4 linked regions of the Anolis sagrei genome follow. The protein of the gene in region 4 purifies or fractionates together with the protein of the main gene of each other region. This does not show direct contact. Links are inferred from orthologs where the notes say so. Each region holds a gene or a part of one and is shown on either strand. Other genes may lie near its edges. The genes, in order: RPP38, RPP30, POP7 and POP1.

Evidence for each region.
Region 1: the proteins of POP1 (region 4) and RPP38 purify together in Homo sapiens (affinity purification with mass spectrometry; 3 studies listed by BioGRID and IntAct, with this or other methods). This does not show direct contact. The link is inferred for Anolis sagrei from reciprocal best matches to the Homo sapiens genes POP1 and RPP38.
Region 2: the proteins of POP1 (region 4) and RPP30 purify together in Homo sapiens (affinity purification with mass spectrometry; 5 studies listed by BioGRID and IntAct, counting the BioPlex papers as one, with this or other methods). This does not show direct contact. The link is inferred for Anolis sagrei from reciprocal best matches to the Homo sapiens genes POP1 and RPP30.
Region 3: the proteins of POP1 (region 4) and POP7 purify together in Homo sapiens (affinity purification with mass spectrometry; 3 studies listed by BioGRID and IntAct, with this or other methods). This does not show direct contact. The link is inferred for Anolis sagrei from reciprocal best matches to the Homo sapiens genes POP1 and POP7.

What each region holds. Positions count from the first base shown.
Region 1 is NC_090026.1:104,826,711-104,834,101, reverse strand, and holds the start of RPP38 (ribonuclease P protein subunit p38), read right to left. Parts: upstream 3,022-7,391; 5' UTR 2,969-3,021; intron 449-2,968; 5' UTR 415-448; coding exon 1-414. Other genes in the region: ACBD7 (acyl-CoA-binding domain-containing protein 7), read left to right, coding at 5,047-5,058. UniProt on the Homo sapiens protein: Component of ribonuclease P, a ribonucleoprotein complex that generates mature tRNA molecules by cleaving their 5'-ends. Also a component of the MRP ribonuclease complex, which cleaves pre-rRNA sequences.
Region 2 is NC_090023.1:184,795,411-184,802,836, reverse strand, and holds the start of RPP30 (ribonuclease P protein subunit p30), read right to left. Parts: upstream 3,026-7,426; 5' UTR 2,981-3,025; coding exon 2,899-2,980; intron 1-2,898. UniProt on the Homo sapiens protein: Component of ribonuclease P, a ribonucleoprotein complex that generates mature tRNA molecules by cleaving their 5'-ends. Also a component of the MRP ribonuclease complex, which cleaves pre-rRNA sequences.
Region 3 is NC_090026.1:2,663,742-2,670,692, reverse strand, and holds the start of POP7 (ribonuclease P protein subunit p20), read right to left. Parts: upstream 3,008-6,951; 5' UTR 2,895-3,007; intron 1-2,894. UniProt on the Homo sapiens protein: Component of ribonuclease P, a ribonucleoprotein complex that generates mature tRNA molecules by cleaving their 5'-ends. Also a component of the MRP ribonuclease complex, which cleaves pre-rRNA sequences.
Region 4 is NC_090024.1:32,123,084-32,130,015, forward strand, and holds the start of POP1 (ribonucleases P/MRP protein subunit POP1), read right to left. Parts: upstream 3,018-6,932; 5' UTR 2,873-3,017; intron 1-2,872. Other genes in the region: RIDA (2-iminobutanoate/2-iminopropanoate deaminase), read left to right, coding at 3,189-3,253. UniProt on the Homo sapiens protein: Component of ribonuclease P, a ribonucleoprotein complex that generates mature tRNA molecules by cleaving their 5'-ends. Also a component of the MRP ribonuclease complex, which cleaves pre-rRNA sequences.

The sequences.
Region 1 (7,391 bases), on a different chromosome or scaffold from region 4:
AGATGTGAGTAGCGTAGGCGAGGCAGATTTACACACCAGTACAAGACGTAGCTCATTTTTTTCTAAGGCTCGTGTGACTTCATTAATCCCAATGGCAAGCTGATTTCTGATCTCCACGTTGGTCCAGCCATGTAGTTGAACCTCTTTGTTTTCATTCTCGTCTTGAAGCTCACCTATATCGGCACAGCGTTGTTCCTTCTTTTGTTTTTGCCCATGGAAGGGTTTCTTCCGCCTCCGAAGCTCGACCTTTTTGAAAGCAAGACGCTTCAGAATATCTTCCAAAGCCTCCAATATGAAGTGCATATTTCCTCCTTCCATAGAGCGCCACTTGAGGGCAAAGGGATTGTTCAAAGATGTCTTTACAGTTATGTGTTTTGACTTGCGGAGGGTCCCCTTCCCTTCCTGAGCAGACATCCTGATGCTCTCGTGATTCCTCCACACTTGAGTTCTAGATTAAAAACAGCAAGAAGTATTGAGAACAACACCAAACAACTACAATGTCTGAACATGGTAGACCTCACAACCTCTGAGGATGCTTGCCATAGATGCAGGTGAAACGTCAGGAGAGAATGCTTCTAGAATATGGCCATACAGCCCGAAAAAACCTACAACAACCCATGGTAGAATTTATTCCTCGCAGCACCATTATAGCATATTATTGTGTGCTGATACCTTGCAGCACTTGGAAAGGTATATTTTAGGATTACAAGTCCTAGAATCCCCAAGCCAATGTGGTTGAGACTTTCTACTAAAAAGGTACTTTTCCAAACTCTGATGTTAGGATGAAAAGCAGAGAGAAGGATAAATAAAGCAGACAGAGCCTGCCACAGAAAATAACCCCATCATATTAAAAAGAGCATATATTGTTTTGGGAATGGAAATCATAGAGTTGGAAGAGACCTTGTGGGCCATCTAGTCCAACCTCCTGCCAAGAAGTAGGGAAACTGCATTCAAAACACCCCTGACAGATGGCCATCCAGCCTCTGTTTAAAAGCCTCCAAAGAAGGAGCCTCCACCATACTCAGAGGCAGAGAGTTCCACTGCTGAACAGCTCTCGCTGTTAGGAAATTCTTCCTCATGTTCAGGTGGAATCTGAACATGGAAGAGCCTAGTGAAAGAAAATATTATGTATATACTCAAGTATAAGCCTAGATTTTCAGCTTTTTTAGGGCTGAAAAAGCCTCCCTTGGCTTATACTCGAGTGAGGGTCCTGGCAGGAAGGTGTGGGGCTGAAAGAAGCCCTTCTCACAAGCTCTGAGGATGTTTGCCATAGATGCAGGCTAAACGTCAGGAGAGAATGTCTCTAGAACCATATAGCCCGGAAAAAACCTACAACAGTCCAGAAGCCCTTCTTTCAGCCCCTTCTCGCCAGGATCCTCACGTCTGCACAGCAACCCAACTCTCCTCTCTTGCACGCTTGTCTTCCTTCTCCCCCTCTCTTGCGCGCCTTCCTTCCTCTCCTCTTTCTCGGTGACCCTGGCCCCAGAAGTCAGAGAGAAAAGGGCACATCGCTGCCATTCTTTGCAAAGGCAGCGGCTCCTCAGAAGTGGCATCTTCCCTATTGATTCCAGAGCATGATGTATGGAATGTTGGTAGTAAAAGGGGAGAAAGAAGGAAGTAATGAGAGAAGGAAGAAAGGAACAGAGGGGGAGGGAAAGAGCGAGAAGGGGGAGGAAAGGAGATGGGAGGGAAGTTAGGAGAAAAGGAAAGATGGGAAAGAAGGAATGGATGTTTTGCCCACATCTATGGCAAGCATCCTCAGAAGTTGTGAAGTCTGTTGGAAACTAGGCAAGTGGGGTTTATATATCTGTGGAATGTCCAGGGTGGGAGAAAGGACTCTTGTCTGTTTGAGGCAAGCGTGAATGTTGCAAATGATCACCTTGATTAGCATTGAATGGCCTTGCAGCTTCAAAGCCTGGTCGCTTCCTGAATGTAAAAATAATACTGAAAATCTTGGGAATATTTGGGGTTAGGTAAAGGTAAAGGTTTCCTGACATTAAGTCTAGCCGAGTGCAACTCTGGGGTGTGGCGTTGTCCGTAGACACCTAGGTCATGTGGCCGACATGACTGCATGGAGCGCCGTTACCTTCCCGCAGAAGCGGTAACTATTGATCTACTCACAATTGCATGTTTTCAATTTGTTCGGTTGGCAGAAGCTGGGCCTAATAGAAGGAACTCACCCTGCTCCTCAAATTGAAACCGCCAACCTTTTGAGGGTAGGGGAGTACCAAACATAACGCACAAATGTTCATGTTTGAGAAACAGCGAGAAACTTCAGGCTTAGTGGGGTTTTCGACCTTGCTCGCCTTTCTTCTAACCTGAAATTCTTATTATTCATTGTCCCAAATCGAATAAGCAGGTCATGAAAAGCACCAATTACTGCCTGAAATTAGAAGCTAAGCAGGGTCAGCCATGGTTAGTCCTTGGATGGGAGGCTGCCAAGGAATACCAAGCTTTAGGATGCATTTTCAGAAGAACTGGCAAAAACACTAATAATAATAACAATAATAATACAAACTCGGGTCTAGACTCAGGACTATTCTGAGTATTCCTTGCCTAAGAAAACCCTCTCAAATTCATGGAGTGGTAATAGGGTGCATCTACACTGTTGAGTTAACGCAGTTTGATACCACTTTTCAACTCCCAGGGCTCAACACTATGAAATCCTGGGAGTTGTAGCTTGGTGAGGAACCAGCCCTGAAGATCGTGTACAGCTACAAACCCAAGATCCCATTGCATGGCACATTAAGTGGTGTCGAACTGCGCCAATTCTGCAGTGTGGATGCACCCCAGAGCACACGTGGCTGCCATGGCTGCTTTAAAAACATGCCCAGGGATCACCAGCAGACTCTCGCCCTGCTAAACAGCACCTAACCTGGTTTCCCCCCTCTTCCCACAAATGCTACTCCGATTCTCAGTTTCTAAAACCCTCTAAAAACACGCAAAAAGGCAAAGTGATTGTACTCACACGGTTGTGCTGGAAGGGAAGCGGAAGAGGCTGGCTCTCCGGCTCAATTTTAGGCGGAGTCTACAAAGCAGAAGTGAGTCAGTGGCTGTTCTCCCTCCACTGGCCTCTAGAGGGCGCTGTGGGGCCATGTTTTCACCGCATGCCTTTGTTTACTACTCCCACTGTGCTGAACTGGGCTTCCTTCTGGGAGCATCTACACTGCAGCATTAATGCAGTTTGGTTCCGCTTTGATTGCCGTGGCTCAATGCTCTGTAATCCTGGAAGTTGTAGTTTTATAAGGTCTCTCGCCTTCTCTGCCAAATAATGTAGATATCTAACTAAATTACAACTCCCACTAGTCTATAGCATTGAGCCATGTCAGATAAAGTGGTGTCAAACTGCATTCATTCTAGAGTTTAGGTCAGGTATGGGCAAACTCAAGTCCCTCCAGATGTTTAGCCTCTGGGTTGCTGAGTTTTCCGAGTTGTTTGACCATGCTCCAGAAGCATTCTCTCCTGACGTTTCGCCTGCATCTATTTATTTATTTATTTATTTACGACATTTATATGCCGCCCTTCTCACCCCAAAGGGGACTCAGAGCAGCTTACAAGTTATATGTAAATACAATATATTATATTATTAGCATAGCACAATATTAGTAACATACATTCCCATATAGTACTCTACTAGTATATTGTAATATTATTAGTAATATTACATGTAATATGGAATATATAATTATTATATTGTATTACATTATAATATTATCAATATTATATTGTATACAATATATTATATTATTAGCACAGCAGAATATTAGCATTATGTATTACTATATTGTACTATACCACTATGCTGTAATAGTATTAGTAATATTGCATGTAATATGAAATATATTATTAGTAGACTGTATTATTATTATATTGCAGTACATAACAACATTATCAATATTATATGTGTATACAATATATTATTACCACAGTACAATATTAGTATTATGTATTAGTATTATGTTGTGCTAATATATTGTATTATTAGCATGTTGTATTACATAATAATATAATCAATATTATATGTGTATACAATATATTATTATCACAGCACAATATTAGTATTGTGTGTTACTACATTGTACCGTACCACTATACTGCAATATTATTAGTAATATTACATGTAATATAAAAATATAATTTTATATTGTATTATTATTAGTATTATGTTGTATTACATTATAATATTATTATCAATATTATATGTGTATACAATATATTATATTATTAGCACAGCACAATATTAGTATTACGTATTACTATATTGTGCTATACCATTAGACTGCAATATTATTAGTAATATTACATGTAATATGAATTATATAATTATTATATTGTATTACATTATATTATCAATATTATATGTGTATACAATATATTATATTATTAGCACAGCACAATATTAGTATTATATATTATTATATTGTGCTATACCACTATACTGTAATATTATTAGTAGTATTATATTGTATTACATTATAATATTATTATCAATATTATATGTATATACAGTATAATAAATATATTATCTTTGGCAGGCATCCTCAGAGGTTGTGACTAAATCCTCCCTAGACCTCTCCAAACTACAAATCCCAGGGTCCCATAGCTTCCAGCCATGACAATTAAAGTGAGCTCACACTGAATTGATTCCTTATCCCTAGGAAAACTACATCTCCCATGTCACTTAAAGTGCTGTCAAACTACTTCGATTCTGCAGTGTAGAAAATCCCATTGAAACAGGATATGGTTGCCCTGTTTAGTGGAACCCTCACTCGTTGGTAACTCGTTACTCTGCAGCCAGTAACGCGTTACATTAGATCAGTTACTGCCTTCCTCTCCTCCAAGGCAGCAGACGCCTCCTCGCTGGTGCTTTGTTTTGGAAGACTGCGTGAGTGACGTCACAATGGCCCTGGACCAATGAGGGGCGAGAACGGTCTGAAGCCGGGGATATAAAAGGGGCTGCTGCAAAAGCAGTCAGAATTGGAGAGCAGAGGCACTTTTGGTAGGAGAGTGAGTGAGGTGGTGCCTTTCATTCAGGAATTTAGCAGCATGCCTCTCCAGGTAAGAAAATAAAGGAGCTTATTTTTTGGGGGGTGATTCATCTGCACTGCAGAATTGAATGCTGTTTGACACCACTTGGCTCAATGCTGTGGAGTCCTGGGAGTTGTAGTTTTCTGTGTCATTCCTATTTGAATGCTGAAAACCTTGTCAAACTTCAACTCCCGATATTCTCTAGTATAAACTCAGGGCATGCAGAGGGTTGGTTGTTAAACTTCATTACTTCCCCAGTATAGAATAATTCTGAATTTTAAAAGTTTTGTTCCCATATAAGACTATAATGCTTTATTACCTGAGCTAAGTCCCAGGACTGGCTCTAATTTGACAGGTTAACAGTGATATGGGATACACTCTTCACATGCCTGAATACCCTAAATGCGCCAGATACTGTGTGAGCTAAGGAGGGCCAGCCTTGGTTAGTGCTTGGATGGGAGACCACCATATAACAGATGCTGTAGGCTATGTTTCAGTGGCAGGAATTAGCAAAACCACCTTACCTAATTAAACACTATGAAATTTGTAGGATGGCCTTGGAGGCACATATTGATGATGAGCAAATGGGTTTGGCTATTATGGCTTTGCATTCTCTTACGCCCAGGCTTGTAGACACAGGAGTCACATACCAGTGCTATTCCTGTGGTGCTGAACTACAACTCGCATCAGCAGTTGTCACTAAGATCATTAGGAGCTGGGGGGGGGGTGCAATGGGTTCAACCCTTGTGCCGGCTGAACTGCTGGCCTGAAGATCAGCAGTTTGAATCCATGAGATGGGGTGAGCTCCTGTCTGTTAGCTCCACCTTGCCATGCAGGGACATGAGAGAAGCCTCCCACAGGATGGTAACACATCCAGGGCGTCGCCTTTGGCAATGTCCCCGTAGACGGCCAATTCTCTCACACCAGAAGCGACTTGCAGTTTCTCAAGTCGCTTCTGACATGATTAAAAAAAAACATTTGAAAGAGCCGATCCACTTTAACGCACTCCACTATGGACTGCCTTTGAATATGTTTTGTATGTAGTAGAGGGTAAATTTTACATTGTACTGTTTCGTGAGCTACTTTGATCCTCTTTTAAGAGAGGAAAGAGGAAATAAATAAATATTTTTATAATAATACATTTAGATGGGGAAGGAGAAGAGTGTCCTCCAAATTTTGTTGGACTGCAACTCCCATCATCTCTGGCTTGCACAGCCACTGGTGAGGAATGATGGGAAATGCAGTCAGTACCGTCTTTTATTTATTTATTTACTTCATTTGTATACCGCTTTTCTCAGCCCTTAGGTGACTCAAAGCGGTTAACAACAGCAACAGCAAAAATTCAATGCTAACATCATACAAGCCATTTAAAAACAATTAACACAATAACACACTAAGCAATTAAACATCAATAAACATCTCATTAGCATCTCATAATAGAATCATGATCCAAACTCATCATCCGTTGTTCCGTTTTCCTTTATTCATATCTTCATTGCACTGCCTATCCAAACGCCTGTTCAAATAACCAGGTCTTCACTTTTCTCGGAAATGCCATTAGGGAGGGAGCCGATCTAATGTCCGTGGGAAGGGCGTTCCACAGCCGAGGAGCCACCACTGAGAAGGCCCTGTCCCTCATCCCCGCCAAACGTGCCTGTGTTGCAGGCGGGATCAAGCAGGGCCTCCCCACAGGATCTTGAAGTCCTAGTGGGTTTATAGGCGGAGATGTGTTCGGATAGGTAACTTGGCCCAGAACCGTTTAGGGCTTTATAGGCCAATGCCAGCACTTTGAATTGTGCTCGGTAGCAAACTGGTAGCCAGTGGAGCTGGCGCAACAGAGTAGTTGTGTGCTCCCTGAGTGCCGCTCCTGTTAGTATCCTGGCTGCCGAACGTTGAACCATTTGAAGCTTCCGAGCAGTCTTCAAAGGCAACCCCACGTAGAGAGGAGCTTAAGCGGCTGAGGGGGAAAAGGAAAGGGCCTGAGGCTGTTAGGAATGGTGGGAATTGACGTCCAAAAGCTCTGGAAGGTCCAAATTTGCCCTAGCCTGATCTAGAGTGTTGCATGTTTCATGCCTCGGTTTAAAATGGTAACCAGGGCTGAATGCATAAGCTATATATAACCTCATCTTACTCTTCCCACACAATTAATTATGCAAAGGAAATTAATTAGTGATGGTTACAGGATGAAAAAAGGTTGTGAAATTGCTTGGGGCACCCAGAACTTGCCTTGTCCCATGGATTTTGGGATTTCAATTTTGAGCAATACTAAGCCATGGCTTTCAGGGATTTATTTGGAGAGTGCATTTGGCTGCCCTCCTTTCATGCTTTCCCATGCTCTGCTGTTTGCATCAAACGTGATCTTA
Region 2 (7,426 bases), on a different chromosome or scaffold from region 4:
CCGTTTTGTGAGTGTGTTGCTGTGTTGTTTTTCATTTTGAGTAGATATGTTTGTACCTTGTGGGTTGTGTTATGGGCACGGGGATTTTAGTTAAGTTTCGTTGGGGGATTTTTGAGTTTTGTTGTTTTGCCGTTTTGTGAGTGTGTTGTTGTGTTGTTTTTCATTTTGAGTAGATATGTTTGTACCTTGTGGGTTGTGTTATGGGCACGGGGATTTTGGTTAAGTTTCGTTGGGGGATTTTTGAGTTTTGTTGTTTTGCTGTTTTGTGAGTGTGTTGTTGTGTTGTTTTTCATTTTGAGTAGATATGTTTGTACCTTGTGGGTTGTGTTATGGGCACGGGGATTTTAGTTAAGTTTCGTTGGGGGATGTTTGAGTTTTGTTGTTTTGCCGTTTTGTGAGTGTGTTGTTGTGTTGTTTTTCATTTTGAGTAGATATGTTTGTACCTTGTGGGTTGTGTTATGGGCACGGGGATTTTGGTTAAGTTTCATTGGGGGTTTTTTGAGTTTTGTTGTTTTGCCGTTTTGTGAGTGTGCTGTTGTGTTGTTTTTCATTTTGAGTAGATATGTTTGTACCTTGTGGGTTGTGTTATGGGCATGGGAATTTTGGTTAAGTTTCGTTGGGGGGTTTTTGAGTTTTGTTTCCTCGTTGGATGCCCCTAACAAATTTATATATATAGATTATTGTCATTATAAAGTAGTTAAGACAACATCACATCCAAACCTCAGAGGTCTTCAGCCAATAAGCTGAATTTTATTTTCACAAGAAGAGTAATTTCAAAAAATCATCATAAAAATAACAATCCATTGATTATATGAAGTGCTCCTTGTATACCAAGCAAACACAAAGGAATTAAATTTTGGTGCAAACTGATTCAATTCGGTGTATGTTAGCAAGAAAAGGAATCACTCATTTTGCAATTTGTGATCATTCAAAGTATGTTGTGTACATTACTTGTATAGTTAGTGTAGATTCATATAATGCCTTGAAATGCATTTACACTGACCATACTGCATGATAGGGCAGTGTAGATGGGGATAGAAGCGGAAAGAGATATCAGATAATGTGGATTGTCTGCTTTGATATTCTGTGCCCCCTTCTACACACCTCAATAAAATCCCACATTTTCTGCTTTGAACTGAAATACATGGCAGTGTGGACTCAGATAACACAGTTCAGAACAGACATTATGGTATTTTCTGCCTTGATATTCTGGATCAACTGGCAGTGTAGAAGAGACCTCGATCTAATCCAGTTCAAATAATCTGGATTCCGAAAATGGGGGCCTTTCTACACTGCCATATAATCCAAATTATCAAAGCAGATAATCCACATGACTGAGCCGCAGGGAGAGGCGGATAAGAAATCTAATTATTACAGTAGAGTCTCGCTTATCCAACCTTCGCTCATCCAGTGTTTTGTATTATCCAACACAGTTTGCCTCCCACCTGTTTCACTACATTGCAATGTTTTGGTGCTCAATTCATAAATACAGTAATTACTACATAACGTTACCATATACTGAACTGCTTTTTCTGTTGATTTGTTGTAAAACATGATGTTTTGGTGATTAATTTGTAAGATCATAACATAATTTGACGCTGATCTGGGATATATGACAGTGTGGACTCAGATAACCCAGTTCAAAGCAGATATTGTGGGATTTTCTGCCTTGATATTCTGTAGTGTAGAAGGGCCCTGGATGTATACTATCATATAATCCCGTTTAAACCAGACAATCTGTATTCAGAAACTGGGGACCTTTCTACACTGCCATATAATCCAGATTATCAAAGCAGATATAACCAACATTATTTGGCTGCAGAGAGGCGGGTAAGAAATAAATTATTATCTGCTTTGAACTGGATTATATGAGTCTACATTGTCGTATAATTCAGTTAAAGCGGATCATCTGGATTTTATATGGCAGCTAAGGCCACTTACACACAGCTGTATAAAATCTCACATTATCTGCTTCGAACTGGGTTATATGGCAGTGTGGACTCAGATAACCCAGTTCAAAGCAGATATTGAGGGATTTTTTGCCTTGACATTCTGGAATATAGGTTTGTGTGGAAGGGCCCTTACATGGATGAATATGATGACTCAGTAAAGGGCTACATCTACACTGAAGAATTTATTACCCTGGCTCTATACAATGTGATCATGGGAGTTGTAGTTTCGCCCTTCCAGACAGGCCCTATATCCCAGGATCAGATCCCAAGTTATTGTCGAAGGCTTTTCATTTCTGGAATCACTGGGTTGCTGTAGATTTTTCGGGCTGTATGGCCATGCTCTAGAAGCATTCTCTCCTGACGTTTCGCCTGCATCTATGGCAGGCATTCTCAGAGGTTGTGAGGTCATAACCTCTTAGGATGCCTGCCATAGATGCAGGCGAAACGTCAGGAGAGAATGCTTCTAGAACATGGCCATATAGCCCGGAAAACCTACAGCAACCTAGAGATCCCAAGTTGTCTGCTTTAAACTGGATTATATGAGTCCACACTGCCAGATAATCTGGGATAAACAGAAAACCTGGAATCAGATCCTGAGATACAGGGCATGTCTGGAAGGGCCCTTTGGTAGAGAAGGCTAAAGACCTGATCAAACTACAACTCCCACGATCTCATAGTATTGATCTAGTGCAAAGTGCAGTTGTAACGCATTCATTCTACAGTGTAGATGCACCCAAGTCAAAGTGCATCAGGAGGTGTTTCTTACGGAGCCAAGGGACAAATTAGTTAAGGCAGAAGAGGGTCCAAAGAGAGCAAAGGGAAAGGAGAAACAGTGCCAGCCAGCCCTTTATCGCAGCCTGGGTCTGGATCTCTGAGGGAAACACGTGTCCACGCATTCCCACGCATTCCCAGGCTGCCTGATTCCCTGCCCCTGACACACACTCACGGTGCGCCGCGGTTTCCACCAACTTCCGAAGCGCCTCCTTCTCCGGCAAGTGAGGGATGTTCAGATCCACAAAGCCCGCCATGTTGCACCCGCCCACGTGGGCTAGAGCCAGGCCAGAAAGGCAGCCCTTCCACGCCCCGCCCACATCGCGCCCCGTTGCATGCTGGGGATTGTAGTTCCCTCCCCCAGCAGTAGACTCTCAAGCTCACCAGCATCCTTAGTAGATGCCAAATGAATGTAGTTTGTGCTTGCTTAAGAGCAACTAAACATAGGCACAACTAATACTATACAATACCATTCTGTAAACTCTGGGCCCTTCCAGACAGGCCCTATATCCCAGGATGTGATCCCAGATTATCTGTTTATCCCGGATTATATGGCAGTGGGGACTCATATAATCCAGTTCAAAGGAGATAATCTGGGATCAGATCCTGGGATATAAGGACTATATATACTACTAATATGATATTATAATTATATATTTTATATGACATGTAATATTACTAATAATATTACAATATAATGGTATTGTACAATGTAGAAATATATAATACTGATATTGTACTATGCTAATAATGTAATATATTGTATGCATACATATCTTGTGGGAGCCCCCGGTGGCGCATTGGGTTAAACCGCTGAGCTTGTAAACTGAAAGGTCGCAGGTTCGAATCTGGGGAGTGGGATGAGCTCCCGCTGTCAGCCCCAGCTTCTGCCAACATAGCAGTTCGAAAACATGCAAATGTGAGTAGAAGGTAACGGGAAGGTAAGGGCGCTCCATGCGGTCATGCCGGCCGCATTACCTTGGAGGTGTCTACGGACAACGCCGGGGAGTGGGATGAGCTCCCGCTGTTAGCCCCTGCTTCTACCAATCTAGCAGTTCGAAAACATGCAAATTTGAGTAGAAGGTAACAGGAAGGTAATAGCGCTCCATGCTGTCATGCCGGCCGCATTACCTTGGAGGTGTCTACGGACAATGCCTGCTCGTCAGCTTAGAAATGGAGATGAGCACCAACCCCCAGAGTCGGACACGACTGGACCTAATGTCCGGGGACAACCTTTACCTATATATATCTTGTAAGCCGCTCTGAGTCCCCTTTGTGGTGAGAAGCTGGCATATAAATGTTGTAAATAAATAAATAAATAAGGCCCCTTCCACACAGCTGTATAAAATCCATATTGAACTGGATTGTATGGCAGTGTGGACTCAGATAATCCAGTTCAAAGCAGGTATTGTGGATTATCTACCTTGATATTCTGGATGATATGGCTATGTGGAAAGACCCTGAAAGAACTGAGAAAAGGAGCATCAAAACAAAAACTTTAATGTTTGGACATAATACATACATTTTGGCATTGAATGCTTGCCACTTTGTTACTTTTGTTGTAAACTATCCTGAGTCCCTTTGGGGAGATATTGCAATATATAAACAAAGTATTATTATTACATTTTTAAAAGTTACATCATTTTTAGAAATAATGTAAGTTTTGGAAATAAATACAGGAAAATGTGCATTGTGTTGTTTTTATTTATTTATTTATTTATTTATTTACCGCATTTGTATACCATCTTTCTCAGCCAGAGGCGACTCAAGGCGGTTCATAGTCGGCAGTGATTAGATGCCATAACAATTATCAAAATACAGTTCAAACAATTATAAAAACAATTCAACATTTAGTATGTAATATAAAAGAAACAATAATGTCTATAAAAACAAAGTCCTCGGCGTCTCCTTACTAAAATTGTTGTCCATATATTCGTTTTGTCTAATTATGCTCTATATATTCGTTGTCCATATATTCGTTTTCATCTAATTATGCTCCAATAGAAAAAGCTTGCTTGAAGAGCCAGGGCTTAACAATTTTGAGGAATGCTAGAAGGGAGGTAGCCAATTTTATATCCCTGGGAAGGGCGTTCCATTGCCGAGGAGCCACCACTGAGAAGGCCTTGTCTCTCGTCCCCTCCAAATGCATCTGCAAGGAAGGCGGGATCGAGAGCAGGGCCTCCCCGGATGATCTTAAAGTCCTAGCAGGTTCATAAGGAGAGATACGTTCGGATAGGTAAGCCGAACCGGAACCATTTAGGGCTTTATAGGCTAAAGCCAGCACTTTAAATTGTGCCCGGTAGCAGACTAGCAGCCAGTGGAGCTGGCGCAACAGAGGAGTCGTGTGCTCCCTGATTCAAAACAATTTTTTTCATTTTTTTAAAAAAATACTTTTTATTATTTTCCCCAGAAAAACTAATTTTTGCTTAATTTTCTCATTCTCCCTTCAACTGCTTGACATCTTAGGTATCCTGAGATGATCATTTCTCTTTCACTAACTTTAGGGCCAGCCTTGTGCCATGCTTTGAACGGATATAACACCATTTTGTACTTGGAGGCATTACCCTGCTAACTTTCTTGATGACAGTTTACAGCAGGGCTGGGAATCATAAAAAGTTTGGCAGATGTACTTTAACTGTGCTTCTCAGCAGCCCTGGTCAGTAGAGCCAACCATAAGGAATGCTGGCATTGCAGTTCAACAATATCTCAAGGGCAACATGATTTTGCTTTAGAGCCGCAGTTCCCTAACTGTGTTCCTTGGAACCCTAGGGTTCTGCAAAAGCAATGTAGGGGTTCTGCAAAGAAGCCAATATTATACTGATTCCAATAGAAGATCAAGATCCCCTACAAATACAGAATTACAGACCCTTTTCATTGCTAAACACAAATTATACAATATTTGCTTTAATACAGGCAAATAGATTAAAGCAGGGGTTCTCAAACATTTTCAGCCATGGAACTCTTTTGGAAGCAAAACTTTTACGTGGAGCCCAAGAATGTTTATATATTATCCTATATATTGTACTATATAAAATGTATATATAGTATAATATAGAGTATAATATAAAATAGCAATAATAATATGATATTATAATTATAGATTTTATATTACATGTAATATTACTAATAACATATTATACTATATATACTGTATATATAGTATAATATATAGGATAATATATAATAACAATAATAATATGATATAATTATAGATTTTATATTACATGTGTTATCACTAATAATATTACAATATAATGGTATAGTACAATATAGTAATATATAATACTGATATTGCACTATGCTAATAATATAATATATTGTATGTATGTGTATATATGTGTGTGTGTGTATGTGTGGGTATATATATATATATATATATATATATATATAGTAAGCCACTCTGAGTCCCGTTGGGGGTGAGAAGGGTGGCATATAAATGTCGTAAATAAATAAAAAATAAATATGTTCCCCCTGGTGGTGCACCAGGTTAAACCACTGAACTGCTGAACTTGCTGGCAGTTCGAATCTGGGGAGCGGGTGAGCTCCCCCTGTAAGGCCCAGCTTCTGCCAACCTAGCAGTTCGGAAACATGCAAATATGAGTAGATCAATAGGTACCACTTCTGCGGGAAGGTGATGGCGCTCCGCAGGAAGGTAATGGTGCTCCGTGCAGTCATGTTGTCCACATGACCTTGGAGGTGTTTCTGGACAACACTGGCTCTTCAGTTTAGAAATGGAGATGGGCACCACTCCCTGGAGTCAGACATGCCTAGACTTAATGTCAGGGGAAATCTTTACGTTTACCTTTATGTACATATATCAGGCATGGGCAAACTTTTTGACACATTGCATTTTAAAATTTGACAGCAGACTGGGCTAGGGGCAGATGGATGGAGTGTGTTTGTGTGAACTGCTTGAAAAAAAACAGTAATAATCATCATAATGATAATAAACTCTATTTGTAACCCACCCTATCTCCCTCAGGGCGGTTTCTAGGAAAAATGGCAAACAGTCAATGCCATAAAACAATACAAAATGAACGAATACTCCCAAGAATAAAACATCTAAGGCAAGTACAATAACTACTTCATAAATTTAAATAATTAAATAAAGCACGTGAATCTAATTAATGGGAATCTAACAAATTCCAATGACACTGCACATATCTTATTCATTGTGCAAGAAAAAAGGAAAAGGAAAGAAATAATACAATATTAAAAATGGAAAACAATTTTAACTAAGAAGAAGGGAACCACGAAGTCCCTCAGTATGCTAGACAGAGCCCCAAGGGCTCTGCAGAGCACACTTTGAGAACTGCTGGATTAAAAAAAGTGCTAACTGGATGGATACATGAAGACCAAGCAGGTTTCTTACCTAGAAGACAAATGAGAGAGAACACGAGAATGATACTCAATCTGATAGAATATTTTCATAAGTGTAGTGAAAAATAAGGAGCCCTCCTGTTCTTAGATGCAGAAAAAGCATTCAAAAATTTTAATTGGGAATTCATGAAAGAAACAGTCACAATGGGAAAATGTGGACAAAACTTCCTGAATGGATTAGAGATAATATATACTAAACAATTTGCAACATGAAATTTGAATCTGCACCACTGATTGACTTTTGGGTAGGACTGATAGACATATACCTTTCAGGAGCTGGAATGGCTACCCAAGCTCTGTTCCCCTTTGTGTCTACCTATCAA
Region 3 (6,951 bases), on a different chromosome or scaffold from region 4:
TGCAGGCAGGATCGAGAGCAGGACCTCCCCGGAAGATCTCAAAGTCCTAGTGGGTTTGTAGGCGGAGATGCGATCGGATAGGTAACTTGTAAACCAGTCCAGGTGGTCCCAGTAGTAATAGGTAAACCAGTCCAGGTGGTCCCAGTAGTAATGGGCACACTGGGTGCCGTGCCAAAAGATCTCAGCCGGCATTTGGAAACCATAAACATTGACAAAATCACGATCTGTCAACAACAGGAAAAACTCAGCCACTATCAAGACCTCAACTATCAACACTGACAACATCACAATCTGTCAACTGCAAAAGGCCACCTGACTTGGATTTACACGCATCATTCGAAAATACATCACACAGTCCTAGACGCTTGGGAAGGGTTCAGATTGCGATTCTGTGATGCGAAATCCAGCATAAAGATCTTGTTTGCTGTGACATACTCTGCTTTTGTGCCAATAATAATAACATAAATAAATAATTTATTTCTTACCGGGCTGGAGGCGGGTTACAACATTGGAAAACACATAACCAGAACACATAATCATTTAACACTCCAAGGAGTACACATATTATAGTTGCATGACATGCATATTAAAATACACAGAACAAAAGTTAGACATAGATTATTATTATTATTAATAATAATAATAATAATAATTGAGAACTATTATTAATAATAATAATAATTGAGAATTGCAGTTTCTAAAGTCACTACTGACACAACAAAAATATTATTATTATTATATAAAATATAGTCACTTTGATGTTATATTATTATAATATTAAAAATATAGAACTAGCCGTCCCCTGCCACATGTTGCTGTGGTCCAGTCTGTATATATGTGCTTTGTGTGTGTGCATATATGTGTGTATATATTTGTGTATCTGTGCATATATGTGTGTTTGCGTGTATGTGTATGTATATATATGTGTGTGTAGATGTGTATATATTTGTGTGTTTATATGTGTATATGTATATTTTGTATATGTGTGTGCTTGTCTATATGCATATTTGTGTGTATATATGTGTGCATGTATGTGTGCATGTGTATATTTGTGTGTGCATGTGTATATGTATGTATGTATGTATATGTATGTATGTGTGTATATGTATGTATGTATGTGTGTATATGTAGATGTATGTGTGCATGTGTATATGTATATGAGTGTAAGTGTGTGTGTATGTATATGTGTGTATGTGTGTATATATGTGTGTATCTATCTATCTATCTGCTGGTTTGTTTGTTTTTTTGTATTTTTAGGGTGATGGTCACTTGTTGGTCTGATAGTTGTTTTGTGTCTAAATTTGGTGTCAATTCGTCCAGTAGTTTTTGAGTTATGCTAATCCCGCAAACAAACATTACATTTTTATTTATATAGATAATATAGTGATAATAATATATTTTATTATGATTATTATTATGTCTATTTATATTCCATATTTCTCTCCAGCAAGGAGAATCCCCCCCCCTTAAGAGGCCTCTTTGAAACATTCCCCCCAACCCAAAATCCCCCTTACAAACTAGTATTGGACTGCATTTCCCAGCCCCTTGAGGACTACAACTCCCATTATCCCTCAGACCCAGTTTTGGACTATAGCTCCTCTAATTCCCCACTTCAGAGGCCTGTTTAGCTGGGAAACTTTCCCTCCCAACCCAGCACCCCCCTTACAAACTAGTATTGGACTGTACTTCCCAGCCCTTTGTGGACTACAACTCCCATTATCCCCCAGAGCCAGTTTTGGACTGTAGCTATTCGAATCCCCTCCCTTCAGAAGCCTGTTTAGCTGGGAAACATTCCCCCCCAACCCAGAATCCCCCTTACAAACTAGTATTGGACTACATTTCCCAGCCCTTGGTGGACTACAACTCCCATTATCCCCAGACCCAGTTTTGGGCTGTATCTCCCAGAATCCCCTCCCTTCAGAAGCCTGTTTAGCTGGGAAACATTCCCCCCCCCCAACCCAGCATCCCCCTTACAAACTAGTATTGGACTGCATTTCCCAGCCCTTTGTGGACTACAACTCCCATTATCCCCCAGACTCAGTTTTGGATTGCAGCTCCTCTAATTCTCCACTTCAGAGGCCTGTTTAGCTGGGAAACTTTCCCCCCCAACCCAGAATCCCCCTTACAAACTAGTATTGGACTGCATTTCCCTGCCCCTTGAGGACTACAACTCCCATTATCCCCCAGAGCCAGTTTTGGACTGTATCTCCCAGAATCCCCTCCCTTCAGAAGACTGTTTAGCTGGGAAACATCCCTCCCAACCCAGAATCCCCCTTACAAACTAGTACTGGACTGCATTTCCCAGCCCTTGGTGGACTACAACTCCCCTTATTCCCCAGAGCCAGTTTTGGACTGTAGCTCCTCTAATTCCCCACTTCAGAGGCCTGTTTAGCTGGGAAACAATCCCCCCCAACCCAGAATCCCCCTTACAAACTAGTATTGGACTGCATTTCCCAGCCCCTTGAAGACTACAACTCCCATTATCCCCCAGACCCAGTTTTGGACTGTAGCTACTCGAATCCCCTCCCTTCAGAAGCCTGTTTAGCTGGGAAACCTTCCCCCAACCCAGAATCTCCCTTACAAACTAGTATTGGACTAAATTTCCCAGCCCCTTGAGGACTACAACTCCCATTATCCCCCAGAGCCAGTTTTGGACTGTAACTACTCGAATCCCCTCCCTTCAGAAGCCTGTTTAGCTGGGAACCATTCCCCCAACCCAGAATCCCCCTTACAAACTAGTATTGGACTGCATTTCCCAGCCCTTGGTGGACTACAGCTCCCCAAATCCCCCATAGCCTTGAGGATTCTGAGCATTGCTGCAGCACTATCCCCTCCTCCCTGGACTCTTCCCCTTCCCCAAAATCCCCCTTTTGCAAAATTGCTTTGCTTCCCACCTTGTTGTTCTTTTCCTTTTTTTCCCGGGAAAATAAAAGAATGCCCTCAAAAGGGCAGCTGCTCCTGGCTTCAGGCACGCATGCGTCTCGCCGATTTCCGGTTTCCGCTTGGAACGTTCAACGTAGAAAGGGAGGGAGGGAGGAGGGAGGCAAAGAGACCATAGATCTAGACTATTTTTTGTTAGAGTGATTCAGAGGAGTCTAACTTTCGGGTCGCTTTGGAGGAAAAGAGAGAGATGCAGCAAAACAATCTCTGAGTAAGTACAGAATTTGGAAGAATTTTACAGAATTACAATAATAAACTTTATTTATAATAATAATAATAATAATAATACATTTATAATTAAATAGAATTAAAATTACTGTACTGGAAAAATGTTGATTTGAAAATTATTATTACTGTATTAATAATAGTAGTATATTTTACTTATTTATTTATATATACAAGTGAAACAACTACAACAAAACTATGGGTCCTCCCATATTTTTAATATGTGTGTGTGTGTGTATATATTTAAATACATATATTCAATATTGTTTATATTTAATCCTGTTTTAATGTCTGCATATTGTATATTTTGAATTGTTTGCTAATGTTGTAATGTTAAGCTACTTTGAGTCTCCTGGAGGAGAGATAAAGCAGAGTATAGATATAATACAGTAATAATTACATATTGGCCACGGTAGTCCACGCTCTGGTTACATCCCACCTAGACTACTGCAACGCTCTCTACGTGGGGTTGCCCTTGAAGATGGCCCGGAAGCTTCAATTAGTCCAACGCGTGGCAGCCATGATGTTAACAGGAGCGGAGCGCAGGGAGCATACAACCCCCCTGTTGCGCCAACTCCACTGGCTGCCGATCTGCTATCGGGCTCAATTCAAGGTGCTGGCGTTGGCCTTTAAAGCCCTAAACGGTTCCGGCCCAAGCTACCTATCTGACTGCATCTCTGCCTATGAACCCACCAGGACTTTAGGATCTTCCAGGGAGACCCTGCTCTCGATCCCGCCTGCTTCTCAAGCATGGTTGGCGGGGACGAGAGACAGGGCCTTCTCGGTGGTGGCTCCTCGGCTGTGGAACGCTCTTCCCACAGACATTAGACTAGCACCATCTCTAATGGTATTCCGCAAAAAAGTGAAGACCTGGATGTTTGAGCAGGCGTTCGAATAACTAGTGCAATGATTGGTAATGAACATACGAATGGAACAATGGATGACGAATCTGGATTATGTTTTTGATAATGAGACGACTGTGATCGGTTATCGTAGTAAGTGTTTATTGATTGGGTAATGTGTTAAGTTGCTAATTGTTGTTATATTTTGCATTGAATTATTGCTGTTTGTATTTGTTGTGAACCGCTGTGAGTCGCCTTCGGGCTGAGAACAGCAGTATATAAGTAAAGTAAATATATATATATATATATATATATACACACACTACACACTACTATAATAATAAAAACAGTAATAATAATAATATATTATTATTATTACTGTATTTATTATAGTAGTCCTGCCCTGAAAGCCTTCAACAATAATATAATTAATATAATTATATAATATTAAAATAAAATAAAATATTATTATATTATATTGTAATATTATATTGTAATATAATATTATATTATTATTATTATATAATATTATTATATAATATTATAATATTATATTATTATTATATTTCTTATAATATTATATTATAATATTATATTACAATATAATATAATAATATTTTATTTTATTTTAATATTATATAATTATATTAATTATATTATTGTTGAAGGCTTTCAGGGCAGGACTACTATAATAAATACAGTAATAATAACAATAATAATTACATATATATACACTATACACTGCTGTAATAAATACAGTAATAATAATATATTAATATTATTATTATTATATTACTGTATTTATTATAGTAATCCGGCCATGAAAGCCTTCAACAATAATATAATGAATATAATAATATAATATAATAATATTATATAGCAATATATTATATTATATTATATTATATTAATATTACAATATATTATAATATTGTAATATAATATTATAATATAATATTATAATTAATATAATAATATAATAAATATATTAACAATAAATAATAACAATAATAATTACATACATATACACTATACACTACTATAATAAATACAGTAATAATAATAATAATAATAATAATATATTATTATTATTATTATTATTATTATTATAATATTACTGTATTTATAATAGTAATCCGGCCATGAAAGCCTTCAACAATAATATAATAAATAAAAAATATAATATAATAATATTATATAGCAATATATTCTATTATATTATATTAATAATATAATATTATAATATAATATAATATTGTAATATAATATTATATTATAATATAATATAATAAATATAATAATAATATAATAACTACAGTAATAATAACAATAATTACATATATATATACACTATACACTACTATAATAAATACAGTAATAAATAATAATAATACTAATTATTATTATTATTATATTACTGTATTTATTATAGTAGTCCGGCCATGAAAGCCTTCAACAATAATATAATAATATAAAAATATAATATAATAAAAATATTATATTATATATTACAATATTATATTATATTAATAATATGACATAATAATATATTATAATATTGTAATATTATAATTAGAAGGGAGCAGGCTCCACCTGACTCCATATCCCAGAACTGAAAGGGGGCACCCAACGGCCATCCAACCCAATCCAAACCCCATTCTGCCGGGCAGAAAGACTCCAAAGGCTGCAAAATGGGTTCGGAGTAGTTTCTGTTGCATCAACACAATTAGGAAAAGGTCAATTTATGCAGGAAAAGCTCTAATTATGAATCCAGTCTTCCCGGGCTTTGTTTACCTTACTCTCAAGTAAAACAAGAACAACAAACCTTGACTGATAATGTACAAAACCAGAAAAATAGAAAAAATCCAGACATTTATTATTTTGTTGACATCCCGAAAAATGCAAACAGTAAAAAGAAAATCCTTGAATGATTTCAGTGATCTGTTGAGAAATAGAACGACGTTGGCTACATATATAAAACGACAGAAATTTGGGGGTAAAAGGGACCATACATTTCCCTCCATATATCCTTCCTTCCTTCCTTCCTTCCTTCCTTCCTTCCTCTCTTTTTTCTCCTTCCTTCCTTCCTTCCTTCCTTTCTTCCTCTCTTTCTTTCTCCTTCCTTCCTTCCTTCCTCTCTTTTTTCTCCTTCCTTCCTTCCCCTCTTTCTTTTGTCTTCCTGCCTTCTTTCCTTCCCCCCTTCCCCTCTTTCCTTCCTTCCTTCCTTCCTTCTATCCTTCCCCTTTTTCTTTCTCCTTCCTTCCCCTCTTTTTTCTCCTTCCTTCCTTCCTTCCTTCCTTCCCCTCTTCCTTTCTCCTTCCTTCCTTCCTTCTTTCCTTCCTTCCTTCCTTCCTTCCCCTCTTTCCTTCCTTCCTTCCTTCCTTCCTTCCTTCCTTCCTTCCCCTCTTTCTTTTTCCTTCCTTCCTTCCCCTCTTTCCTTCCTTCCTTCCTTCCCCTCTTTCTTTTTCCTTCCTTCCTTCCCCTCTTTCCTTCCTTCCTTCCTTCCTTCCTTCCTTCCTTCCTTCTTTCCTTCCTTCCCCTCTTTTTTCTCCTTCCTTCCTTCCTTCCTTCCCCTCTTTCTTTCTCCTTCCTTCCTTCCTTCCTTCCTTCCTTCCTCCCCTCCCCTCTTTCTTTCTCCTTCCTTCCTTCCTTCCTTCCTTCCTTCCTTCCTTCCTTCCCCTCTTTCTTTCTCCTTCCTTCCTTCCTTCCTTCCTTCCTTCCTTCCTTCCTTCCCCTCTTTCCTTCTCCTTCCTTCCTTCCTTCCTTCCTTCCTTCCTTCCTTCCTTCCTTCCCCTCTTTCTTTCACCTTCCTTCCTTCCTTCTTTCCTTCCTTCCTTCCCCTCTTTCTTTTTCCTTCCTTCCTTCCCCTCTTTTTTCTCCTTCCTTCCTTCCTTCCTTCCTTCCTTCCTTCCTTCTTTCCTTCCTTCCCCTCTTTTTTCTCCTT
Region 4 (6,932 bases):
CAAATGCATTAAGCTCCAGGAGAGAAACATGTAAGGCACTTGCAGTCAGAGAAGCTGATGAATACCTAAAAGAATACATCCTGATCTAGTGAAAGAAATTACACTAAATATATCACAAGTGGACTGCTGCAAAAGAATAGACCTAGCAACTGATACTTATCTCAATGTTTGGTTAGTTCAATACTGACAGTTTTTTGTCTTCTATTATCTTGGATCCACTATCCTCAAACTGCAGAGCCAGATGCTGAGTCAACGTAGGCCCCTTTCAGTAGTATTGGTTGGAAAAAGCCACCCATTTATGCACCTTAGCTTATGGAGGAGGAGTAATACATCTTTTATATACTCTTGCCCAGATATTGGACACCTACCTCAGCTCGTTGGAAGCCATAAACTACATTATGCTTTTAATGTTTTCTTGGTCTAACTTGTAACATGTGGGATTTTATCGCAGTAAATGTATGTGATGTGTTAGATTATGTTTATTTAAGTTTTAATTTTGAGGGTTTTTTTTTTGTTTAGTTCATAGGCTTATATTGAGATTGTCGTATCTATTGTTTCTGGTTTGATTTGTTGTTCATCTGTTTTTGGCACTGAATGTTTGCTATTTTGTTAGTCCCTGAAAACTGCCCTGAATCCCCTCGCATTGATAGGGCAGGTTACAAATAAAGTATTATTATGATTATGATTACTTTTCCAGGCTGGGTCTACACTGCCCTATAATTCATTTATTTATTTGCAGTATTTCTATCCCACCTGTCTCAGCTCAAAGGTGACTCAAGGCGGCTTACAAAATGGCAGCAATTTGATGCCACAACAGTCATAAATACCATTAAAACATTTAACATAACATAATAAAAATCCATATAAAAACCACATAAAAACCATTAAAAATATAACTTCCAGTTAAACTCATTTTCCATTAGCATCGTCTAAGCCGTTCCATGTTCAGTCTTTCATAGTACCATATTTATCTATTACGCTGTGTTTCCAAAAGCTTGTTCAATAAGCCAGGTCTTTACTTTTTCCCTGGAATGTCAGTTGTATGCTCCTGGAGCACTGCTCCGATTAGCAACCTGGCTGCCACCCGCTGGACCATTTGAAGGTTCCAAACAGTCTTCAAAGGCAACCCCACACAGAGCGTGTTGCATTAGTCTATACGGGATGCAACCAGTGCGTGGACTACCGTGGCCAAGTCAGACTTTCCAAGGTACGGGCACAGCTGGCGCACGAACTTTAACTGTGTAAATGATCACGGCGGAAACCAGGGGTTCCAGGCTCAACAATGAATTTATTTATTTATTTATTTATTTACAGTATTTGTATACCACTTTTCTCACCCCGAGGGGGACTCAAAGCGGTTTACAGATAAGTAATGGCAAAAAATTCAATGCCAGTACAAACAATTACAATTATACACTACAATTAGACATAAATTAAATTTAAAAATCTCCCTGGAGACTAGGACGCAGAACAATGGCTTCAAACTACAAGGAAGGAGATTCCATCTGAACATGAGGAAGAACTTCCTGACTGTGAGAGCCGTTCAGCAGTGGAACTCTCTGCCCCGGAGTGTGGTGGAGGCTCCTTCTTTTGAAGCTTTTAAACAGAGGCTGGATGGCCATCTGTCAGGGGTGATTTGAATGCAATATTCCTGCTTTTTGGCAGGGGGTTGGACTGGATGGCCCATGAGGTCTCTTCCAACTCTTTGATTCTATGATCCATGAGCAATAAAATAATCATTAAAACAATAAAACAAGTCTCATCCATTGAATCGCCGTTCCAGTAGTTGTCTTTCTGAAATGCTGCATACATTTATTTCTACTGCCCGAAGGCCTGGTCCCAAAACCATGATTTTATTTTTTTTCTAAAAGCCAGGAGGGAGGGAGCGGATCTCACCTCATTTGGGAGTGTGTTCCATAGGCAGGGGGCCACAGCCGAGAAGGCCCTGTCTCGTCCCCACCAGGTGCATCTGTGCCGTTGGCAGGAGAGAGAGAAGGGCCTCCCCGGATTATCTTAGATTACGAGGTGGGACGTAGGTGTGGATACGTTTGGACAAGTAAGCTGGGCCCGAATCATATAGGGCTTTATAGGTCAAAACGAGCTCTTTGAATTGGGCTCGGAGATGGACAAGCAGCCAGTGGAGCTGGCATAGCAGGGGGGTGGTATGCTCCCTGTATGCCGCCCCAGTTAGTAATCTGGCTGCCGCCCGTTGAACTAGCTGAAGTTTCCGAACCATCTTCAAAGGCAGCCCCACTTAGAGCGCGAATGAATCCAGGATCACACCCAAGCTGCGAACCTGCGTCTTCAGGGGGAAGCATAACCCCATCCAACACAGGCTGCAACCCTATGCCCTAATTGGCCTTTCGACTGACCAGATGTATTTCTGTCTTGTCTGGATTCAGTTTCAATTTGTTCGCCAATAATAATAATACAATATAATGTATATATTGTACAATAAAACTATATAATGCAGAGGAAGGCAAAGACAATCCCTGCAAAATCTTGCCAAGAACCCACCTGACCTTGAAACTTAAGCAGAGACAGCCCTGGTTAGTGTTTGGATGGGAGAAAGGGGCTGGACTGGATGACCCTCTTTGGGGTCCCTTCTGTTGGGATGGACTAACTTGGGCCCTCCAGGTGTTTTGGATTCCAACTCCCACCATTCCTAACAGCCTCAGGCCCTTTCCTTTCCCCCCTCAGCCGCTTAAGCAGCTGAGGGGGAAAAGGAAGGGGCCTGAGGCTGTTAGGAATGGTGGGAGTTGGAGTCCAAAACACCTGGAGGGCCTAAGTTTGCCCAGGCCTGATGTAGAAGCACCCATTGTGGCCCCATTTCCCTTGCTTCCCTCTTCCTCTCAGTCTTATCCCCTTTTACCTGCGATACTGGCCTAGGCCTCAAATGAGGAGAGAATCAGTCAGCTTTCCCCCTCCGCTTCTCTTCTGGCCACGCGCGGCGCCCACTTCCGGCTTCCTCGAGACTGCATTCCTCCAAAACTCTCTCTCTCGCGGGAGGGCTACGGTGGGCGGGGAGGTTCTCAATACTGCTGAATGAATGGCGCGCGAGTTTTAGAGGAGGGCGGGGCCAAGGGAGGAGGACGGGTAAAGTCCGGGAGGCAAGGCTGAGTTCTTACACTCACTTGCTAGGTTTTCTTTTCGGCTTGTGAGTGGACTCAGAAAGGATCAATCTGATCATGGCCACCTTAGTGAAGAGGATCATCACTTCTGCGAAGGCTCCTGCCGCCATAGGACCCTACAGGTAGGAGTCAACCGTTCTCCTGCGGAACTCCCCGCTGCTGGATGCGGTTGAAGCGCGCTATAAGACTGCTTGGGAAGAGGAAGATGAGACAAGCTCAAGGGGAATCCTATCAGTCAAACAAGATGGACTTTGTTGCCTGGTTTGATCTGAATTGCTTTTGTTATATGATAATGATGCTTATTTATATCTTGCCTTCAATATATTATATAATACTGATAGTATTATATACTGGTAGTGTATTGTATATGCTGTATAATAATTTAGTACAATATAATAATATATAATAATATAATATTTATTTATTTATTTATGTACTGCCCTTCTCACCCCAAAGGGGACTCAGAGCAGCTTACAACATATATATTATATTATATTATTATATTATATTATATTACATTATATTATATTATTAGCATAGCACAATATCAGTATTATATATTACTATATGTATATTATTAAGTCCAGTCAGGTCTGACTCTGGGGTGTGGTGCTCATCTCCATTTCTAAGCCGAAGAGCCGGCATTGTCCATAGACACCTCCAAGGGTTATGTGGCCAGCATGACTGCATGGAGCGCTGTTACCTTCCCGTCGGAGCGGTACCTATTGATCTACTCACATTTGCATGTTTTCGAACTGCTAGCATGGCAGAAGCTAGAGCTGACAGCAGAAGCTCACACCGCTCCCCGGAATCGAACCTGTGACTTTTCAGTCAACAAGCTCAGCAGCTCAGCACTTTAACCCACTGTGCCACCAGGGCCCCGTATATACAATATATTATATTATATTATTAGTATAGCACAGGAGACAAGATGGAACTGCCTTCCTGGCCCCGCTCTCTTCACTCCGGCCTTCTTTACATGTAATATTACTAATAACATTGCAGTATAGTACAATATAGTAATATATAATACTAATATTGTGCTATGCTAATAATATAATATATTATATATACATATAATACTGATAATATTATAATGTGGTCACAATATAATACTAATAATACAATATAATAATATATAATAATATTGTAAGATGGTGATACTATGGGCTCTCCAGTGGCACAGCGGGTTAAACCGCTGAGCTGCTGAACTTGCTGGCCAAAAGGTTGACGGTTGGAATCGGAAAGTGGGGTGAGCTCCCACTGGTAGCCCTAGATTCTGCCAACCTAGCAGTTTGAAAGCATGCAAATGTGAGTAGATCAACAGGTACAGCTTCTGCGGGAAGGTGATGGTGCTCCATGCAGTCATGCTGGCCACATGACCTTGGAGGCGTCTACAGACATAGAAATGGAGATTAACACCACCCCTCAGAGTTGGACACGACTAGACTTAATTTCAAGGGTATCCTTTACCTTTATATAGTAATACTAATATATTAAATATAATTATTTCTGATAATATATAATGATATATTAGTGTATATTTGCATATTTTAAGTAGGAATGTTTTTGATGGTGAGCCGCTTTGAGTCTTAGTATAGAGAGATAAAGCAGGATCCAAATAAATAAATAGAGAGATAAAGCAGGATCCAAATAAATAAATAAATAAAATCCATAGATGCAGGTGAAACGTCAGGAGAGAATGCCTCTAGACCATGGCCATATAGCCCGAAAAAACCTACAACAACCCAGTGATTCCGGCCATGAAAGCCTTCGACAATGCATTAAATAAAAGTGGCTTGCAGCCCTAAAAGCAATATGGATTACAATTTAAAAGCTATAACATTACCTGCTTTGAACTGGGATTTATGGCAGTGTGGGCTCAGAGATTCCAGTGCAAAGCAGATATTGTGGGTTATTCTGCAGTGATATTCCGGGTTATATAGCTGTGTGAAAGGGCCCTAACTCCCCAATAGGAATCCACTAGTAAAGCACATGTGATTATCTAATATTGGTTTAAATGCACAATGAAAGAAGTGTGTGTGTGTGTGTATACATTAATTCTATGAATGTCTAGGTCTTCCGACACAAGTTTATGATCAACTTCTGCAGTGAGCTGACCATAGAACTGCATTAGAGGACTTCGAAATGTGTAGAACATAACATTTTAAATTCAATCAATGCATAATCAAAGCCACGAAAATCAAAACTGCAGAAGGACAACTGTATATCAATGTAGTGAAGGAGAGGAAAACTAGTGCTGGTTCAGAGGGTTTGTTATCTCTCCATTTCCATTTTTCACTGAATAAACCATTGATTTGTTCCATAGTCTCAAACCTAAAGTTATGATTAAGCTTAGTATGCACTGAGATTTTTTTCTCTTGTGAAAACAAAGATCTTTCACAAATGCAAGGCTTACCAGGAGGATGTAGATTTATCAGCTTTCGTTGCAAAACCAAAGATCCCAGAAATTGAGGAAGATAAATATTGACTTCCTTTCTTTTTTTTTTCTCTTCAAAATATATTTGAAAGTAATATGCCATTTGGAAAAAGGGCCAAGAATAAGGTATACTTACAGCTGTGAGTGACAAGTGAATGATCTTTACTTGTGTGTCAGTGTTTTGGGACTTTCTGGGGTTACATCTCAACCATAAAATTATTTTTGTGGCTACTTCATAACTGTAATTTTGCTACTGTTATAAATAATAATGTAAATTATGTGATATGCAGGATGTATTTTCATACACTGGATCAAATTTGGCACAAATACCCGATACTCCCAAATTTGAATACTGATGGGGTTGGGGTGGATTGATTTTGTCATTTGGGAGTTGCAGTTGCTGGAATTTATAGTTCACCTACAATCAAAGAGCATTCTGAACCCCACCAATGATGGAATTGAACCAAACTTGGCTCACAAAACTCCCATGATCAACAAAAAATACTGGAAGGATTTTGTGGGCATTGATCTTGCGTTTTGGAGAGTTGTAGTTCACCTACATCCAGAGAGCTCTGTGGACTCAAACAATGATGGATCTGGACCAAACTTGGCACAAATACTTAATCTGCCCAAATGTGAATACTGGTGGAGTTTGGGGAAAATAGACCTTGACATTTTGGAGTTGTAGTCATTGGGATTTATAGTTCACCTACAATCGAAGAGCATTCTGAACTCCACCAACGATGGAATTGAACCACACTTGGCACACAAAACTCCCATGATCAACAGAAAATACTGGTGGGCATTGACCTTGAGTTTTGGAGTTGTAGTTCACCATCATCCAGAGAGCTCTGTGATCTGGACCAAACTTGGCACAAATACTCAATCTGCCCAAATATGAACACTGGTGGTGTTTGGGGGAAATAGATTTTGGCATTTGGGAATTGTAGTTGTTGAGATTTATAGTTCACTTAAAATCAAAGAGCATTCTGAACCCCCACCAAGATAGAATTGGGCCAAACTTTCCACACAGAACCCCCAGGGTGTACAGAAAATACTGGAGGGATTTGGGGTGGATTGACAGTGATTTAGTGATGTAATTCACCTACATCTGGAGAACACTGTGAATTCAAACGACTATGCAAAAGGGGTTCCTAAGACCTTAAGAAATATGTGTTTTCTGATGGTCTTTGGTGACCCCTCTGAAACCCCCTCCTGACCCCTCCGCAGGGGTCCCGACCCCCAGGTTGAGAAACACAAATTTAGATGCAACCCTAGTCCAACACTTATCACTATACTACCCTGACTCTCAAGATTATACTAGACCGTCAGATATGCTTACTACATATAAAGGACTTCGT